Coturnix japonica: one gene and its partners. The protein of the gene in region 5 interacts with the protein of the main gene of each other region in a pairwise test. Links are inferred from orthologs where the notes say so. Each region holds a gene or a part of one and is shown on either strand. Other genes may lie near its edges.

Region 1 (2,823 bases), on a different chromosome or scaffold from region 5:
AGGCAGAGAACTTTGAAGCTGCTGTGTCTTTCTATGGGAAAGCAATTGAGTTAAATCCATCCAACGCTGTGTATTTTTGCAACAGGTACTGCTTCTTTCTTCCCTTGCACACCAGTGGTTTTGGCCCTTACTTCAAGCTCAAAATCCACCTTTTAAAGTGTTGTAGGCCACTTGTTCCATCGCTTGCTCTATGTGGTGCTTTTGCTTTTGTTTTTTCTTTAGCTCAATGACTTGCTCTTGGCAGCTCCATGCCCTGGCACTTCTCAATAGGATGTGGGTGTGGAAACAAACTCTTCAGCATTTTTAGGAGAGATAAAAGGGTTCCAAGGGACGCCGCCTGCTTTCATACAATTAACTCTTTAAGTAAAACAGAGGGCTGGGATTTGAAAGGCCTTGTTGAAAACAAAAGCAAAGGAGTAAAGTGAGGCAAGCTGAAGGCCTGCTATCAAGAACCTTATGTGGAGGGTATGGGAAAATGGGAGAGGGGGTCCTTATGGCTCAGAAATGGAGATGTAACGGAGGCTGAGAGATCAGACTGAGCCAGGGATGGGATGCTTTCCTGCTTCCTTCCTCTTGGAAGGCCTGTAAGGAGGAGTGAGAGCTCAGATCTGTTTGCAGTAGGACTAGAAGGTGAAAGCTGAGTGTTTGGATAGCGACCTGCTCATGTAGGCACAGCCTGGATTTATGTCAAGTTCACACTTTGACTTTCCCTTTAGAGCAGGAGGCTGCAGAGAGGGAGCAGAGGTGACCTTGATCAGCACATTCAAGCTGATAAGTGTTTTCTGCCCATCTTTTCTTCTTCTCTCCAGAGCTGCTGCGTACAGTAAATTAGGAAATTATGCTGGAGCAGTCAGAGACTGCGAAAGAGCAATAGGCATCGATCCAAACTACAGCAAAGCTTACGGCAGAATGGGGTAAGTACGAGAGCAGGTTTTTGTGCCAGAATTGTAGTCTCAAAGTGCTTTGTGGTAATTACACTATCAGCAATGTTCTGCCCTGGAATGCCGTGTAGAAATACCTGGTGTTTCACCTCTGCTGGGGGTGGAGGAAGGCTGCGAGTGCTTATCTCCCTCTTTGACTTTCTTTTATTTCCCCTTTAATAGCTTGGCTCTCTCCAGTTTAAATAAACACACAGAAGCTGTTGTCTACTACAAAAAAGCTCTGGAGCTCGATCCAGACAATGACACGTATAAATCCAACCTTAAAATAGCTGAACAGAAAATGAAGGAGACTCCCAGTCCGGTAAGTGCTGAAATCAATGCTTAAGTGTGGATGAGATTGAATGGAGATTTCTTTACTGTGCTGCTGCAGGTGCTGGCAGGAGCTCGGTTGTGTTTAGAATACAGCTCTTGCATGCAGATAGATGGAGGGGGGATGATTAATGAGTGCTGCTGTGACCCCCCCCAATAAAAAACCCAGAGAGAGCAACTTGTGTGCTGTGCTGGCACGCAGTCACCTTGGGCTGGGAAGTGAGGCTGATTAGAAGGAGCTTTTAGAAACACTATTTTAGTATCTTAAAGGGGATTTCTGCCTTTTAGAGCCTCCTGTAGCACGGAGGTGGGCAGGTGGGTGTGTTTGACTTGGCAGGTGTGGTGGGTTGGGGCAGGACGTCACTAGCACGGCTGGGCTGGTGCAACAATGCGTGTGATGCCATCATTGCTATCAGCATGTGCCCTTTGCCTCCCTGAGTGAGCTGATCCCCATCCTGCCCTTTGTCATGCTTTAAAGACCAGCTTCTGATAACACTGGGAGCATCGAGGTACCATTCATTGCAGCGTGCTGTTTATTGCATCAGAAAGTGAGAGGATGTCACCACCCACGTGTGGTGTCTTTATTCTTACAGACCGGAGGTCCCGGAGGATTCGATTTAGCTGGCTTGCTGAACAACCCTGGCTTCATGAGTATGGTAAATGCGGGCACAGATCACAGCCAGGCTGTACTCAGTCTGTGCATTTATCCATTAAAGATGAAACGTTTTGGGACGTGGAGTGGGGTGTTCCTGTGTCTCATGAGCAGCTTTGCTGTCGTTTCTTGGTGTTGCTGCGAGGAAGCTGTGCTTGTATTTTGCACCCAAGTCAAATAAAGAGCCAGTGACTTATTCACAGGCTGCTCCTTGTGACGTGCTGGGTGTGGAAAGGGTGCCTGTTCTGCATTACCAGCCTTGTCTTGTGTGTTGCACTGTGCTTCTCTTTGCTATTTTTGTCCTATTGATCTGTTTCCAAGTATTTCTGCCTTCGCTTTGTTCCTAGTTGAATGGCACAACATCTGCATATCTACCCAGGCATTTCTGACTAAATAGGGTGTCATTTTTTTTTCTTCCCCTCTTTAAATAGGCATCTAACCTAATGAACAATCCACAAGTACAACAGCTGTAAGTTTGATCCCGCGTTCTCTTTCCTCTTTGAGTCACTCCTTTGAGGCTGTGGTGGGAGGGGGGTGGGTGCTGGAACCAGAAATGTGGAAGGCAGCCCTTAAAGCAGCCGTGAACCAGTGTGTGTTTTGAGTACTCTGGGCTGTGTTGAAGAGGAACCTCAATAGGAGGCATCTCACCCTCTGTTAGAATATCTCTATTCCTTGTAATGCAGAGTTATGGGGATCAATTCACATCTGTCCGAAAGCTGAGACAATATAAAACCATGAAGTGAATAAAGCCTCTCCAGTCTGTCCCTTCAGAGCTCAGGCAGTCAGTGGAGCCCTTCTGGAGCTCAGCCTTACTGTATGAGGCAGCCCTGCTACAAAGCCAAACATCTGCCACCATTTCCATTTGCTTCTGCCTGCTCCTTCCACTCCTGTTGTCAGCTGAGGTTCTGTGCCAGGTGCAGC
Region 2 (4,103 bases), on a different chromosome or scaffold from region 5:
TGGCTGTGTGTTTTCCAGACCCATCTGAGCGACGCTGAAAACCCCTGAGTGGGAGTGGGGGACAAAGCAGATAGGAAACTTAACCAAAAAAGGAAGGAAGCAGGAGAACGAGCAGTTGGTTTCTCTCAGCAAAGGAAGGGGCCGTAATGCCTTCAGTCAGCACTTCTCTGCGGCAGGTAGAGAATAAAATGAAAAGCCAGGACAGTGCTCTCCTTACCTTCGGAGATGGTACCGCAGTTTGCAGGGTGAGGGTAGACAGCAGGAGGTGAAATAAACCCTGGGTATTGCTTTCACATTACTATTAGCTGGGAAGGTAATTTCTGCTAACAGTGAGTCATCGTTATCAGATGGAGGACACAACCGTGTTCCAATGGCTTCTTCCCAGACTGCCAGTTGTAAAGGCTCTGCACACACAAAGCCACGCATGCTAATTGCATTAAGGATGCTTTTACCCCCCCCCCCCCGCAGGTTCACACAGGTGCACAGCCCAGGGCAATGATGGGCCAAGTGATAAAGCCAGAGCTGTACGATAAAGCCAGAGCTGTACGATAAAGCCAGAGCTGTAGGGCAGAGCTGTGGCAAGGAGAGCCCTCGTGCCTCACCACCACCCGCTCACCCCCAGACCCCCATGATGGAACACTTCCTTACTTCTGTGGAGTCTTAATGACCAAATGCACGGTCAGCCCGTCTTTGATCCCGTGTTGATTCAGAGTGTCTCCGTCCTTCAGGATCTTCCCAGCGAAGATCAGAACCAGCTGATCCTGTTTGGCTTTGAACCGCCTGGAAATCTCTTCTTTGAACTGAAAAACAGACCCGGCGCTTTTCAGGCAGAAGAGCAAAGGAAGGAAACTGAAGGTAACGCTCCAGGTACCCAACATTCACTGCACAAACGGCGAAAGGAACCAGCAGAGCTTCAGCACCCCGACAGAACAGAGGTATTGCTGCCTGCAATAGCAGCAATGCAGCACCAGCTGCTGAGAGCACACGAGGGGAAAAAGCAAAGCTGAGCAACTGAGCTGCTTCAGAACGTGGGGAGTAAAGTTCACAACAGTCACCTGGAGATGAGCTGAAGGCTTCAAAACCAACGAGCCCCTGAGGCCTGATCCAAACCCACCATTTATCTTCAGAATGACTGAGCTTTATTTGCCTCCGCTCATCTTATTATTTCCCAAGGAAAGCCCAGCTCTGATTCAATACAGGACAGAGCTGTGCGGAAAAGGGCACAGTCCTTTATCAGCCAATGGATGTAAACTAGGTCTTCTATTCCTGTGACTATCCACAGCACCCACTGCCAACATCTCTGCTGTGTGATGGGGAGGGACCAGCACCTGCCAATAAGATTGTCACCGCCAGCTCAGCTGGGGCGTCCCCGAGTCAATAGGTGAGAATAGAAACCTTTGCATTTGGAAGCCACAGAGTTCAGGAAATCCACATGGAAAGGCTGGGAGCAGAAGATCACAGCTTTCCTGGGGCAGCTCGCTGCCATGGTCCAGAACTCCCGAAAAACTGGGCCTGGGAGGACGGACCCCTGGCACTGAAGTGACCCAGGGCGTGAAGCTTCACCCGCTGCTCTGCACGCTGACAGCACAGGGCTGGGAAGCAGCAGGGCCACGCACAGCACACAGCTCCTGCCCAGCTCCCAGCACACGCTGCAACCTCGTGCCCTGAAGCCCACATCAAAGTACACAGCAAAACACACACACAGCCAAGATCCACAGCACTGACACCACTCTGCCCCGGCGGGCACTGCCACCTGCACAACGCTTCTTGTGAACCCTCTGCTGCCCTGCAAACACACAGTGCCCCTGTGGAGCTCCCTGCTCACAGCAAACCCACATGTCTGACGTCCCCTTCCCTCTGCTTCACTCTCCCTCTGCCCCAAAGGCAGAAATGAAAGGTCTGAGAAGGACGGACAGAGCAGCCTCTGGCCTCAGCCCCACCGCACACATCCACTGCCCCACAGCTCCCCGCAGCCCAGCCCCAGGGCCGCGTCCCATCACAGCACCCACCCGCTGCCTCTCAGCTCCCCAAGCTGCAGCTCCCGCTGCTCTTCCAGCAGCTCCTGCCAGCCCCGGAGCCGCGCCCCCATGTGCCCTGACCTGAGGCATCTCCGGGCCCTAAGGGAGAAGATCCCTGATCCCTCCAGGCCCAGCCGCCCCACGCAGCGCCTCCCCGCTGTCCCACAACACCCCCACTACCAGCAGCACAACCCCCGGGCCGTGCCCCTCACACCCCCCCCAGCCCGCAGACCCCTCCCGGCCCCCCCTTCCCGTTCCCACCGGCACATCCCGCCCCCCCCTCCCGCACCGCCCCGACAACGCCCCGTTCTCGCCCCCCGGCGGGTTCCAGCCCCTCGGCTCCCGCACAACACACGCCGTCACTCCGCTGCAGCCCAACCCCGGCCCCACGCCCCCCATGGCCGGGGAGGCCCCAGCTCCGCTCAGCCCAGCTCCGCTCCCGCCCCTCACAACCTTCCCCCCCCCGGCTCCTCACACCCCCGAGGTTCCTCCCTCCAATTCTCGCCCAACCCCTCCCGCCACCTTCCCGCTCCGCACCCTCCTCGGTCTCGCGGCCCGTGTCTCCCGCGGCCCCTCGCAGCGCTCAGGCCTAGGCCCCGTCCTCCGTCCCGTCCCCACCTCGCGCACGGAGGCGCCGTCGGCGATGACGATCTCCTCCTTGTCCTTGGGGGTCTTCACCGTGACGCGGATGAGCGCCCCGCCGGGACCTCCCAGCTCCGACCCGCCGGGGCCCGGCCCGCCGCCGCCACTCGGCTCCGCCATCTTCGCCGCCCGCCCCGCCAGCCCTGGCCGACAGAGAAAGGCCGGGACAGAGCGCCGCCACGGCCCGCGCCGCAGCACAGCGCCCCCTGGCGGCGGGGAGGATCGAGAGGCGACGGAACCGGAACCGGAACGGAGCGCGGAACCGCCCCGAACGGAACCGAACGGCAGCAAACACCGAACGGGGGCGGCCTACACCGGGAACGGGCCCCGCGCCCCGCGCTGCCTGCCATGCTGCGGCCCAAAGCGCTGACGCAGGTGCTGAGCCAGGCCAACACCGGCGGCGTCCAGAGCACGTTGTGAGCGGGGACGGGGCCGGGGGCGGTGCGACCGTACGGTCATTGCGGTGTGATGTGACCGTACCGTCACGGCGGGGCTCGGCCCGGAGCTGACCGTTCCCCGCTCCGTTGCAGGCTGCTGAACAATGAGGGCTCGCTCTTGGCCTACTCGGGATACGGAGACACGGACGCCCGCGTGACCGCGGCCATCGCCAGCAACATCTGGGTGGCCTACGACAAGAACGGGCACCACGCGTTCAACGAGGACAACCTGCGCTTCATCCTCATGGACTGCATGGTACGGAACGGCTGCGGGACCCCACGGGATCCATGCGGGACCCCCGGTGTGCGGGACCCACAGCAGCACCCACAGTGGGATCCGAGGTGTTCAGCAGCAGCTTCTGTGTGGGAGCCCAAGGGGTCCGTGTGAACCCCATAAATCTCAATGTGACCCCATAAATCTCAGTGTGACCCCATAAATCCCAATGTGACCCCATAAATCTCAGTGTGACCCCATAAATCTCAGTGTGACCCCATAAATCTCAGTGTGACCCCATAAATCCCAATGTGACCCCATAAATCTCAATGTGACCCCATAAATCCCACTGTGACCCCATAAATCCCACTGTGACCCCATAAATCCCGCTGTGACCCCCTGAATCTCCGTGTGACCCCGGTTCTCTCCGGCAGGAGGGGCGCGTGGCCATCACCCGCGTGGCGAACCTCCTGCTGTGCATGTACGCCAAGGAGACGGTGGGATTTGGGATGCTGAAAGCCAAGGTGAGGGGATGGGGGTGAGGGGATGGGGGTGAGGGGGTGGGGGGCTGCATTACGGTGAGGTGTGAAAGAGCCACGGGGTTAAAGCCGGGAGGAAGAGGATGGGAGAGATGGGGGAGGAATTGCAATCAAAATGGGAACTGTCTGCGTGGGTCCCAGATTGGTGCTGGGGTGGGACGGGGGTTTGCCCACAGAATGTGGGCGCTGGGGGCTGCACCCCTCACCACCATCCCTGCCCCAGGCACAGGCGCTGGTGCAATACCTGGAGGAG
Region 3 (4,187 bases), about 110 Mb from region 5:
AGAATGAGCAGGACTCCACACCCACCTCACTGCATTACCCTGCCAGAACCCCACTCCTACATCTAGTCTGAGCAACCGCAACAAGTTCCCATTCATGCTACAAGATCAGCAGATAGTCCCTGTTGTGCTGAAGGGCTTCTATCTCTGCTCAGTCACCTTCGTAAGACCCCACTCTGGACTGAGGAGGGGAAGAAGGGAATAGAACTTTTCATCACACTGCTAGTTGTTTTAAAGCAGCTTGAGATTATGATATTGGATTTAGGAGAATTAGTTTATTCTACACTGCTTAATTACAAGAGCTGGAACTCTTAGTCCTGTAGCTCTGTGACCTGCTGGTTCCACAAGCCAGGCTGCGGAAGGTGCTATTTCAGCAGGATCACTTAGCAGCAGCATTCTTCTTCAATCACTCCAGCTGACTTTGCTCGCTTTGTTTTGGCCTTTGATTTCTTCTTCTTGTTGGGAATTTTGCTGCTTATAATGAAACAGCTTTTGTCCTGAGAACAAAAAAAAACAGCATTCTCAAGTCTGGTTTGGAGACACTTGAAGTACCAATTTATTACTAACTTCCTTTAGGAAGTTTTATGGACGCTTCAGAGAACTGCCCAATTTCCGCACATCCCAACATAATTCCAAAGAGCTCAGACTTCTCTCAAACCAATTTCCTCTTGTACTACACACCAAAACCACACAAACTGGTTAATTCCAGATCCAAGCTCAAGAATTAAGTACTCAAAGCATCATCTGTTACTTATTTAACACCTCAAAAGAGAAAACAGGTTATAGTTTTCAAATTATGGATGTTTACTCACCACTACTCTGACATCAAAGTCTTCTGGATTATCAGAGCCCAAGCAGTTATCATCGTCATTGCTGAAAGGCAGGAAATTCAAATCAAATCTGTACTTCTACAGTAGCGCAGCATAAACAAGCTGTTCTCCTAATGCAGCACCACTTCCTCATAATGCATATGGAAACGCTACAGCTTACAGGTCTGGGATGCTCCCACTTCTACATGAGGCTACACTGAGAGCCTGTGGAACAAGATCCTTATCTAAAGCCATGAGCTGTTACTTATTTTCTCTCTCTGCTCTTTTAAGGATGAGGAGAGAGCACACAACACAGCAGTGCTAAGCCAACAGAATCCATTACTGAGTTACAGAAAAATCCAAGAGGTATTTCACCAATTAATATAATGCACGTGCCAGACAATAAAGACAGCAATGCTGAACACACAGACTTTAAGTTGAGAACAAAACAGCAACTTTTATACTACTGAAAATGAACTTACTTTGTCTCCTGGATAGGAGAAATGGGGCCTTTGTCATCTAAATATTTATGTTTCCGCGCTGTCAGACATTCCCTTTCTAAGTCTTCATTTGCTTCAAGGGATTTCAAAGCCTTTTTGAGGTGTTCTTCAGCTTTAAGCATTTCAACATACTGGAAATATCCCTTCGCAGCTGCTTGCTGCAAAAAAAAGGAATAGATCTTAAATACAAACAAAGAAATGAACCATTTATATAATCAACCAGACTGTAACATTAAATGACAGCCTTAGGTCAGCTGGTTCTCTCCCACAAAACACAGGGCTCACCTCATAGCTAAGAACCATATTTACGGGAATATGTTTCCTCCCATAATGTTTTTCAACAAAAGGGAACTGAAAGCCTGGATCCCGAAGCCTTCTCCTTCGCTCCTGAGGCGGGGCTGTCATGGGCCGATTCCCACCACGCTTCTTTGGGGGTTCCGAGCGTCTCTTTGTCTTCCGTGAAACACCGCTCCTGTATCTTCGGTGCGCAGCAGTTTTAAACTTCCTTCCTCTGAAGTGATAGGCAAAAATGGCTTTCAAATCGAGCTTGGATTTCCTCCTTTGGGAGGGTTCAGGTGGCCTCACCGGGCTCTCAGGGAGCAAAGAGTCAGGACTTTCACCATCAGACACTCGTGCATCAGCTCCTGCTTGTTTCCTTGAAGGCTGCGATCTCCTCTTTTGCTCCGCAGAGGGAGCAGTGCATTTCCTAGAGCGTTTGCTGCCCCGAGCAGCTGAAACATCACTGAAAAAGAAACGTGTACATTCAACAGAGCACATACGTTTATGAGTCTTGTTCGTAAGTGATTCTAAGGAACCAGGTAACTCACATTTCTGAATCGCTGCTATCCACCTCAGATGAAGATGTATTTGTACTACTAGTCTCATCTGAAGACTCCTCAGGAGTGGCGTCCTTCTGCCTCGAGCACAAACGTCTCTTCCTTGCATTCACTGCACGCTCAGGTATTTTAGATCTTTTTCGCCTCTGAGTGGATACGAGACTCTGAGCATCAGGATCATCAGAACAAGAGGTGTGGGATTCATCTGTATCACTCATGTTTTAATCTGCCCTGAAAGAAATTAAATATGTTTTACCCCAGGCAAAGCTTTTCACATCCAAGGAACGTATGTGTCTCCCTCACAGTAGCCCCCTCCCGCCCACCATCCCGGGGCGGACATTTTGCGCGGTTCCCGCCGCTCTACCACAGCCCCGGGCCGCCATGAGGAGCCCATTTCCCACATCCCACCCGCCCCAGGGCCTTCCTTGCGCTCCGTCTAGGAATCGCTCAGCGACAGGATGTGCTTTGATTCTACCCCAGCCTCACAGCGGGTCCTCACACGGCGGATGGCAGCGGATTCAGCGCACCGCCATCACCAACCCAACACTCACCTCACGCTTCACCTCCGGAAAGGGCGCGCAATGGCCGCCCCCGAGCTTAAATAGCGCTCGGCTCTCGCGAGAGCAGGACGGGGCGGGGAGTGCCGTGAGGGGGGCGGGGATGGGCGGCCGCAGGTTGTGGGCATTGGCTGCGGTTCCCGCTCGCTGTGGGTCTCCAGAGGGTGGCTCCTGCAGGTTTGGCTCCGGGACTCTTTTTAGACTCTTTTTACCCTCGTTTACGTGGCCTGAATTTCCCTTCTCGCTTCTCTGCTGAGTTCATCTGCACGTTGGCGCTGTCCCTGTTGGCTCTGTGGCTCTGGCTGTGCTTCCTTCTCCCCCCAGCCCCCCGCTATGAAGCGTTTCTATCCAGCCATTAACTTCTCCTTTCCGTTTTCTGCCCTTTCCTGCTTGGAAAAGAAAAGCCGCAGTGTCTCGACGTGTCGGTTGTTTCCTGCCATCCCGTTTGCAGCGTTCCTGTGACAGCTTCCTTCACAGAAGGGAGAATCGCCCATAGAAGCGGACGAGCCCCCAGCTAAGATGGAAATCACTCTACATAGACAGCTTGCTTTCTTGCTCTATTGCTTGTTACAGGCAGAACTTGAGGTAGCTGAACTTTGAGCTCAAAGTCTCGCTTTTTCTTCCATGAAAGGTTCCTATTTTGTTACGTGCAGCAGGCGTGTGCCTAAGGAGTTAATGATTTCTGGGGCTGGTTTATAGGTAGCATGTAACCAGCTGCTTGTGCCTGGAGCTGCTGGTTTGCCCTCGTAGCAGGTTATGCTGTTGCATGACTGAAATATAGCTCGTTTCAAAAGAAGCTCCAACATTTCTGTTCTGAACAAAGCTTGCTGTGAAAGGCTCTGAGCTGATATAGAGTCCAGTGCTGTACAACTTGCTGCTGCTTTGGTGCCTTTGTTTGGCTTTGAGATGCACTACAACCTTCTTCCACTTTGGAAACACGTGCCTATAAGAAACTGGGAGCCAAGGTTGAAAGTCCATCATAGCCAATGCTGGAAAAGTAAACATTAAGGTAGTGAAGACCGGGTAAGGCAGTTATTGTGCTTAGAAAAGCGTGGCTTTGGGTTTACAAAGGACAGATAACTGACCTGTCCCTTGAATTAGGTTCAGCGTATTACATATTTTGTCTGTACTGAGATGGAAGTTTGAGGACTAACAGATGTAATGCTCTGAAGCAGCTGCAGAGCTGGTAGGCACACCTGCTTCCAAAGCACATAGAATCATAAAATCACCAAGGTTAGAAAAGACCTGAAAGATTATTCAGTACAACCATCCACATATTACTAATAGCTGCCACTAAACCACTAATAGCTGCCACTAAACCATGAGAAAACACTAATCTTGAAGCTGTCAGTTTTTCCCTCAATGGTATAATAACAATTCTACTGTTATCTATGTATTCTCGGGTGAATTTGACAGATAAATTGCATATTGAAAGCAGTGTGTTTTTAATTACTAAACCATTATCTTTGTTGACAGATCAGTCACTTC
Region 4 (3,514 bases), on a different chromosome or scaffold from region 5:
CTGAAGACAACACATGCAGTTGCTACTCTGATGGGCTGGAACCTTGATCCTCATCATTCACTCCTTGTACCAAGCCTGTTTTGACTCTGGATAAATTGGTCTGGAGGTCTCTAGCAAAGCCAACCAGAAAAGGCCAGCAGGTAGATTTTACTTATTTAGAGCAAGAAAGCAAATCTTTTCCTCACCTTGTGCCCATCCAAGTGGGCTATATCCATTTCAAAGCCTGTAAGTGCCTCGACCAGCGAGATTGTCACGTTTGTGTATAAGTCATCTCCTCTTCTTTCAAAGACTGGGTGCCTGCGGAAATAAGAGATTGTAGCTTTCCTCCTTTTCCCATGGAAAAGGAGATTCTCCAGCTTCCTCCCATCCATTTGTGAAAAGAGATTGGAGACTTCACATAAACCAGAGAGGAAGTCAAGAATGAATGAAACTTAGCTTTGTTTTCCTGTGTGCAAAGCATCCTACTTATAGCCTTTCTATTTCCAGAGCAGTGAGTGGTAAGGAGTGTCAAATTGTGACTCATCCAGTCTTTCCTTGCAGCACATTTTCTTACAATAGGGAAATAGTATGTTTATGGAAAAAGGAGATATCACATGATTCAGGCAGGGACTAATCTATGCCAGAATTCAAGGGAAACAGAAGTAGAATACCACTGCAGCATCGTGACAGCAGTGAATCTCTAGAATCCTCAGGATTGAACATCCTGCACCGTCCCGAATACCTGAGCCCTGATTGTACTGAAGGATAAACTAGACACAAGCCAAGCAGGCAACACTAGCCAGAAAACTGTTTGCAAGTTCCTTGATAGTAACTAGAAAGAGTGGTCTAACAAGGCCAGTCACTTACTTGAGAACCTTTATTCGGAAACGCAAATCACCTGGCTCCCCATCCACATGGGGTTCCCCTGTGAAGGAAGAAGAGCTGTTTATCCGGCCAGAAACAGCTAAAGAGACAAGCAGCATATTAAATACAATAGAGATTTGCAGCTCATATGTCAAAGGGAAAAAAAAACCAACCAGTTGTTTCTCTTGTGACTAAAACCCTGCTGACATGTATTTCTTTTACTAAACAGTTTAGGATTTTCAGAGTGCTACTTCAAATTCACCCCTCTCTGCTGTTCTGAAGACCTGCCCGCGCAGTAATGAGAACCATCCTTTAATAAATAAAGGACATAACCTCCTTCTATAGGAGGGATTCCTTCACATACTGGAGTATGGGGCAAATGTTCTTTAATATTTCTTAACAAAAGGAGAGAATCTCAAGAGTGTTACCCAGACTTGCAAAGACCAGGCTACTGGATTTGAGCAGCACACTCTGGATGCAGAACTTCACATAACGTGTCCTGAACATTTACCTAAAGCAGAGCTGGGACACTTTCACACTGCCATAAAGATCAGCCTTGTATTAGAGAAAAGAAGCAAGTCATAAGCTGGGCACTGCCCGTATACATACCCTCACCAATGAAGGGATATTCCATACCGTCCCTCACACCTGGCTCTATTTCCACTTCTAGCGTTCGCTCTTCATTCACAAGCCTGCAAGGGGGAATATGCAAGCACAGTTTTCAGCATTAGGTGGTAGCATTTGCTTTGTTACTGGAAAATGAGAACACCCCTACAAATGACACATTCCTTGCTTACACTTAGAGCTGGAAGCCAAATGCTGCCCTTCTCACTTATTTACAAATTGAGTAAGTTCTTCGTCTAATAGATCTACTCATTTCTACTTTAATAATTAAGACTGTCTTCTTGGAAACGAGAAACCCGTGTTAAGTGCTTTGATATTCCCCAGATATTCCTGGTTGTACAGACACTCTTCTCCCTCTAGTGGCAGGTTTTTGAATTAACAGCATATAGCACTGAAGAGCACAACTCACTTGACATTGGGACATTCATCGCAAACAACTTCTTGAGTCATCTGGAAACGCCCAGGGCCCAGCTGTGTGGTCCTCATCTCCTGCCGGCAATTGCATTTCCGTTTGCCAGGTGCCTGTCTTGCCACTGGCTTGTTCCTGACAACCTGCAACCAAGAGGAAGAAGCTGACACCAGCACACACGCCAGCACCCCAGGTCTTGATCACACAATCTGAATACAGCAGCCAATCCAGTCATCTGAAACTTGGTAACATTGGAGAGACCAACAGGCCAGCAAACTTACTTCTACGAAGTTTCCTGAATACACCTCCTCCAGTGTAACCTCCAGGTCCACAATGATGTCGCTGCCCCGAGGGATGTTCCTGTCCTGTTGGCGAGGGCTACCTCCAAACATGAATCCAAAGTCCCCAAAAAAGCTGGAGAGAAACACACCAGTTAGTTCTGGAAGGAATTCTGGCCAAGAAGCCAGCCACCTAAGGCAGGACCAACGGGTGCCTGAGATTTCTTTGCTTAGGAAAACCAAGCTGTTTATGTGGGAAGACAACGCTGGTTTCAATTCACTGATCTTGGAGATGGGACCAAGACAAGACACACAAGAACAACATGTGGAATATGTGTGCATTTCTTCATATCCTTAACTGTCACTGCCTCCTGACTAGGTGCGAGGTCTTAACACTGAATTGACCCGCATCAAATTCACGCACAAGCATCACAGAATTAAAGCTCTGACTGTGAAATAACTCAAACAGGTAAAACCTCCTTACTGTGAGAAGATGTCTCCATGGGAACTCTGGTGCCCATCCTTCAACCCCTCCTCGCCATACGCATCGTACTGTTTCCTCTTCTCCTCATCTGACAGCACCTGGCAAGAGGACACAGAAGGACAAGGTGTTCACCCACAGGGCACCTGGATGCTTACACAAAGCTCAAAGAGGAGCCTTTTCAGAGCTCTTAGATGGGGGGCAAGTAGAAGTGCATTACAGCACAGAAGCATTGGCTAGAACTTGCCTGCTGTGCTTGGAAATTAAACATTTCTTGTGTTGTTTAACCTCATAAAAGTTAGAATTAATATATTAAAATGGCAGATGCAACACAGAGGATATTAAAAATATATTGAGTTTACTCTGAATGAGTTGAGAGAGACTCAGAAGGGGATAATAACTCAAAATCATGTCTTACAAAGCAGGAACTGCTCCTCTGTGAAAAGAAGAAAATCACGTAACATGTAATAGAGCCCTGGTTTCTCAGTTCTTTAAGCACGTGGAATTCATTTATCTGACACATAGTTCATAATTATTAGCAATGACAGCAAGTTTGCCTACCAAGCTGAACCTGCTGAGTACAATAACTCCACACCAACTTCAACACTGACTCAGTTCCTATGGGCAGCAAAATTCAGGAGCAATCTCAGTCCTGAGGTAGAACAGTGCATCCCAATAGACAGCACTCAAGGTCACAAAGCTTCAGTTTTAATTCCTAGGTATTATCTTTGCTTTTATTCTCCACTCCACAGATTTCCAGCCAGATTTTGCCTTCCTTCCCTTTCCTGGCCCACTGGCTATTTTTTGGAAGGCTGAAGTTGCCAGGTTAGATTTCAGAGAGGAATGGAAACAGCTGGAGAAAAGCTGGTTTAATGATGA
Region 5 (4,006 bases):
TGAGAATCACTGTGTGTGTGCGTGCGTTACAGTGACCTAGTTTGTTCAAAGACAGCATTTTGAATGGTTTATTATAAAGAGACTTGAAACAAAGAGACTTCCTCAATTAAAGTCCTGAAATGAATCCTCTCAATGAAAATGCTTTTGATACACTGATCAGCAAGAGGTTGTAAATATCGAAGCAAAGCTTGCATTGTTAAAAACCAGTTCCCACAGAAAACACCACTGTTACAGTATAGGTAATGAGGCCCCCTGAACAGAGCGTTAAGTTGCATGAGCAATGTCCATTCCAAACCTAATGCCCCAGTGTTCTACTTGAACATACAATAATCCTATTTCCTGCTGCAAAAAAAAATGCACTCAAATAGAGCAAGAGTTGAGTGACTGTAAAAGACTTTTTAATTATCATCTGAGGACTCTGGAATAACCGCCCCTAACATGAAAAAGAAACATATGACTTGAAAAAGAAGAACCATGCTGGAACCATGAATGTCACAAGTCAGCTAAGTAATAAAACACGCCAGCAAGGAAAAGATGAACCTACGCAAAACATACATTAGCACAGGTGAGTCCTTAGTGCCAGTTGGAGTGTAGTGGAATACAGGTATATGGTACCAGGATACCACTATGTTTTATATTACTGTAGCCAAACCAACATAGCTGGCAAAGATATATCAGCTACAGAGTGAATCTCAAAGAACTGTTGATTAGCAGCGGGATAACTGCAAGAAGTATGCTTTAGTCAGGCCGTCTCTGCACTACAGACCAAGAATAACCTGTTGGAAGAAGAAATATTTGTTGCTAACTTCCATTTTTTAATCTTAGATTTTGCTTTGAAGCATGCTAAAATCAGTAAGCTTCTCTCCTTCAATTTCACCCAAAGCTCCATAAGTAATAACTCATCAAAGAGTTCAGTGTAAGCTGGAGATGGGTATATTAGATCCTTAGATCCCCTCATTTTCCTTCTCTTTAAGGAAAAACCTCTGAATTACACAGCAGGTTTTTTGTTGCTGAGGCTTTTTTGTTTGTTTGTTAGTTTCGTTTATCATTTCCAATGAAGTACCTTCTCCACTCACTTCTACATTTTCACCTCTATACCAAATTAATAGTTTTTGTCACAGATATTCACATTCCCTTATCCTTTCATAGGTTATTCTTTTCAGAGTTTTTTTTTTTCTCTTCTGTTTTATTTCCAGGCTGTTTCTTTTCAGGGAGGAAACAGAAATACATTTGGGAAAAAAAAAAAAAAAAAAGAATAAGTTTGCTTTGTACACCAGCTCAAGCACATCGTCTTGAAAACATAAAGCACAAGAATTTCTTTACCATGACTTTTCTTGTACCTTTCCCTCCTCCCTCTGTTCCTTCTCTATTGCTCCCTAATGCAACCAAAGTTATACACTTACTCTGTTGACCAAAACATTGAACTTCTTTGCTAAAAGCTTAGAATAGTCATGGCCAAAGGGTAACAAAGGAAATGACAGCAAGTTCAAGAGCTGATGGTAGTATTCTTCCACTGTACTACAAGCCATTTAGAGTAAATAGGATCTACTTTAAAAACATACCACTATCCATAGCTGCAGAGTTATCTCACAGAGAAGGATTTAACACGTTGCAAACGTTTCCACAATGCTCCTAAGAACCAGTTAGTCTATACTGTAATCCAGCTTCAGAGTAAACTGCTGAACTAACACACAGTAGGCATTCACAACCAAAGTGGATCACTTGCCATGCAGAAGAGATAGGTATATGACACCCACTGGCTATATAAAAAGTGTGGGAGAATCCGTTTTCTGAATAGAAGAAAACTGTATTTTTAATGGGACTTTCTCCCCACCCATCCCTCCAGAAGAAAGAGAACACAAACTAACAACAGTAGCTATAAATAAATCAGCACTAGTTAGATTCAGTTGTTTCTGCGGGAGAAAAGTAGAAATAAGGCTAAGTACAACGGAAAATATAATAGCAATAGAGAGTAGTGCTCAGGCCGACGGTACAATGCAACCTCGGTTATCCAGTCTCAGTCGGGACACTCCTGGCACAGAGCACCTGGAAGCTGCAGGAGTTCTGCTGCCCTGGAATCACTGCTCCCCTTCTGTCCTCTCAAATTGGATCAGCCAGAGAACTCCTGTTCCCTTCTCTGCTGTGTCACGTCCCCTCACCACCCCTCTCCTTCTTTATCCTCTTTATCGCTCCCACATCCCGACACATCCCCATCCCGAATCGAGCGGCCAAACGCACGTGCGATCCCGAAGCACCCCACCACCCCAGAGCAACCCCAGACTTCAGCCCCAACCTGCCCCTCTGCCAGGTGTTCCCCAATCACCCCCGGGGCGGGGAGATCAGAGGAGACAAGGAAGTATCAGGGAGAGTCCCTGGGAGCGGGGTGAGAGGGGGAAGCGCTTCGCATCTCGCCCGAAGGAGCGGGCTCGGGGAGCAGCGTCCCTCTGGCAGCCCCTGGCAGCCCTCGCCGTCCCCTCGGACTTACTTCGGGCGGCGAGAAGCGCTTCTCCCGCAGCAGTAAGGGGCGAGCCGCGAGCGTCCCTGGTGCGCGTCGGGTGCTGCTGGTGCTGCGGGTGCTGCCGGCGATGCGGCTCCGCTTCCCCACGGACCTTCGACTCACTCCCCTCTTCTCCCGCGCCCCGTCTCTCTCTCCCGCTGGAGATTTCTTCCCTGAGATTTTTATACTGGAGGCAGGGAACCTGATCCTCGCTTTGACTCGACAGAGCCCGGGCTGCGGCGAGCCGCCGAGAGGAGGGAGGCAGAGGCAGGCGGGCGCCGGGGCAGAGCTAGCGGCCGCGCTGCCCCCTCGTGTGATGATGCGGCGGGGGCGCGCCGTCGGGCGGGTCACCCGCGGGGCAGCCTCGCCTCCACCGCCCGAGGGGGGTGTAGGGGGGCGGGACGGGGCCGCTCCGCCCGCACACCGGGTCCCGGGGAGCCCCCGCTGAGGGAAGAGTGTTCTCCGCCCGCACCGGGACCGGACAGTGCCCTCCCTGCCTGCCCCTCCACTCTCAGCCTTGCTTGAGGCTACAGCCTCCTAATGGGCACCAATTGGATCTTGCCTGGAGAGGACTTGGCTGGCAGGAGCACGGGGAGCTCTAATTCTACTTGCAGTGTCCCACTTAGACTTGGACTGGAAATACTGGGTTGTGGGGGGAACAGCATCTAATTTCAGCCCTAGCTGAAAATGCCACAAGAACAGCTTTTCTCGTGGCATTCAAATACTTCTGGTTACTGGAGTTATATCAAGGTTTCCACTTTTTTTTTTTTTTTTTTTTTTTTTTTCCCCCCAAGTTTTCCAACTTCTAGGTTCATTACATGCATTGAATAAGAATGTACCCCCAACCCACAGCTTGGTTTAGAACAAAGTGGACTTGTTCCAAAGTCCAGGCAATTTCTGTCTAATTCCTGATCCCCAGAGCAATTCTCTCTCTCGATTTGAAAGACTGAGTCCATTGACTGCTTGGGTCTCAGCTTGCGTCTCCTGCTCCAGGTCTGCACAGAAATCCAGTTCAGATTCCTCTCCTGTTTCCAGAGGAATGAGCTAAAAAAGTAATTTGTCTGGCACCGTACGCATTGCATCATCTAACACCTACCATCTGTGACAATGGAAAGCACTGTGTGGCTGGTCCCAGCGTGGGCAATTGCACCCACCTGGAGTCTTTCTTAGTAAAGTAAACTATTCCCTTCCATCCACACCTTGGCATCTTCTTTTCATCATGCAGTTATGTGTTTAGTCCTGGCATGGTTGTTAAGGATTTGCACCACTGGCAGATTTAATGACAGTGATGTAAGTTAAAACAACAGCTTTGATTTGCAGTGTAAAGTGGTGACTTGAGAAGGAGAGAACATTCCTTCTAACAGCTGGCCGAGTGGAAATGAGCACTCAATACTACACTTCACGTTCATGTTTCAGACTATGCAAAGCTGAATAGAGATACCTGATAGCCAGCTTGTACCTTCCTGAGGGCTTCTCAATGAAATTCTGGCAGTCCAAGCACCACGTACG

Evidence for each region.
Region 1: the proteins of PTN (region 5) and SGTA interact in a two-hybrid assay, tested with the Homo sapiens proteins (2 studies listed by BioGRID and IntAct). The link is inferred for Coturnix japonica from reciprocal best matches to the Homo sapiens genes PTN and SGTA.
Region 2: the proteins of PTN (region 5) and UBQLN4 interact in a two-hybrid assay, tested with the Homo sapiens proteins (2 studies listed by BioGRID and IntAct). The link is inferred for Coturnix japonica from reciprocal best matches to the Homo sapiens genes PTN and UBQLN4.
Region 3: the proteins of PTN (region 5) and TAF1D interact in a two-hybrid assay, tested with the Homo sapiens proteins (2 studies listed by BioGRID and IntAct). The link is inferred for Coturnix japonica from reciprocal best matches to the Homo sapiens genes PTN and TAF1D.
Region 4: the proteins of PTN (region 5) and DNAJB11 interact in a two-hybrid assay, tested with the Homo sapiens proteins (2 studies listed by BioGRID and IntAct). The link is inferred for Coturnix japonica from reciprocal best matches to the Homo sapiens genes PTN and DNAJB11.

Annotation. Positions count from the first base shown.
Region 1 is NC_029543.1:2,300,410-2,303,232, forward strand, and holds part of SGTA (small glutamine-rich tetratricopeptide repeat-containing protein alpha), read left to right. Parts: coding exon 1-85; intron 86-809; coding exon 810-914; intron 915-1,103; coding exon 1,104-1,242; intron 1,243-1,843; coding exon 1,844-1,906; intron 1,907-2,333; coding exon 2,334-2,371; intron 2,372-2,823. UniProt on the Homo sapiens protein: Co-chaperone that binds misfolded and hydrophobic patches-containing client proteins in the cytosol. Mediates their targeting to the endoplasmic reticulum but also regulates their sorting to the proteasome when targeting fails.
Region 2 is NC_029540.1:77,957-82,059, forward strand, and holds the start of UBQLN4 (ubiquilin-4), read right to left. Parts: upstream 2,811-4,103; 5' UTR 2,781-2,810; coding exon 2,637-2,780; intron 801-2,636; coding exon 649-800; intron 1-648. Other genes in the region: ragulator complex protein LAMTOR2, read left to right, coding at 3,009-3,076, 3,191-3,353, 3,746-3,835, 4,074-4,103. UniProt on the Homo sapiens protein: Regulator of protein degradation that mediates the proteasomal targeting of misfolded, mislocalized or accumulated proteins.
Region 3 is NC_029516.1:166,172,856-166,177,042, reverse strand, and holds the start of TAF1D (TATA box-binding protein-associated factor RNA polymerase I subunit D), read right to left. Parts: upstream 2,804-4,187; 5' UTR 2,694-2,803; intron 2,374-2,693; 5' UTR 2,361-2,373; coding exon 2,134-2,360; intron 2,049-2,133; coding exon 1,592-2,048; intron 1,465-1,591; coding exon 1,289-1,464; intron 871-1,288; coding exon 810-870; intron 495-809; coding exon 381-494; 3' UTR 1-380. UniProt on the Homo sapiens protein: Component of the transcription factor SL1/TIF-IB complex, which is involved in the assembly of the PIC (preinitiation complex) during RNA polymerase I-dependent transcription.
Region 4 is NC_029524.1:3,286,713-3,290,226, reverse strand, and holds part of DNAJB11 (dnaJ homolog subfamily B member 11), read right to left. Parts: intron 2,737-3,514; coding exon 2,639-2,736; intron 2,291-2,638; coding exon 2,158-2,290; intron 2,020-2,157; coding exon 1,877-2,019; intron 1,536-1,876; coding exon 1,453-1,535; intron 905-1,452; coding exon 847-904; intron 298-846; coding exon 186-297; intron 1-185. UniProt on the Homo sapiens protein: As a co-chaperone for HSPA5 it is required for proper folding, trafficking or degradation of proteins.
Region 5 is NC_029516.1:54,708,109-54,712,114, forward strand, and holds the start of PTN (pleiotrophin), read right to left. Parts: upstream 2,807-4,006; 5' UTR 2,486-2,806; intron 1-2,485.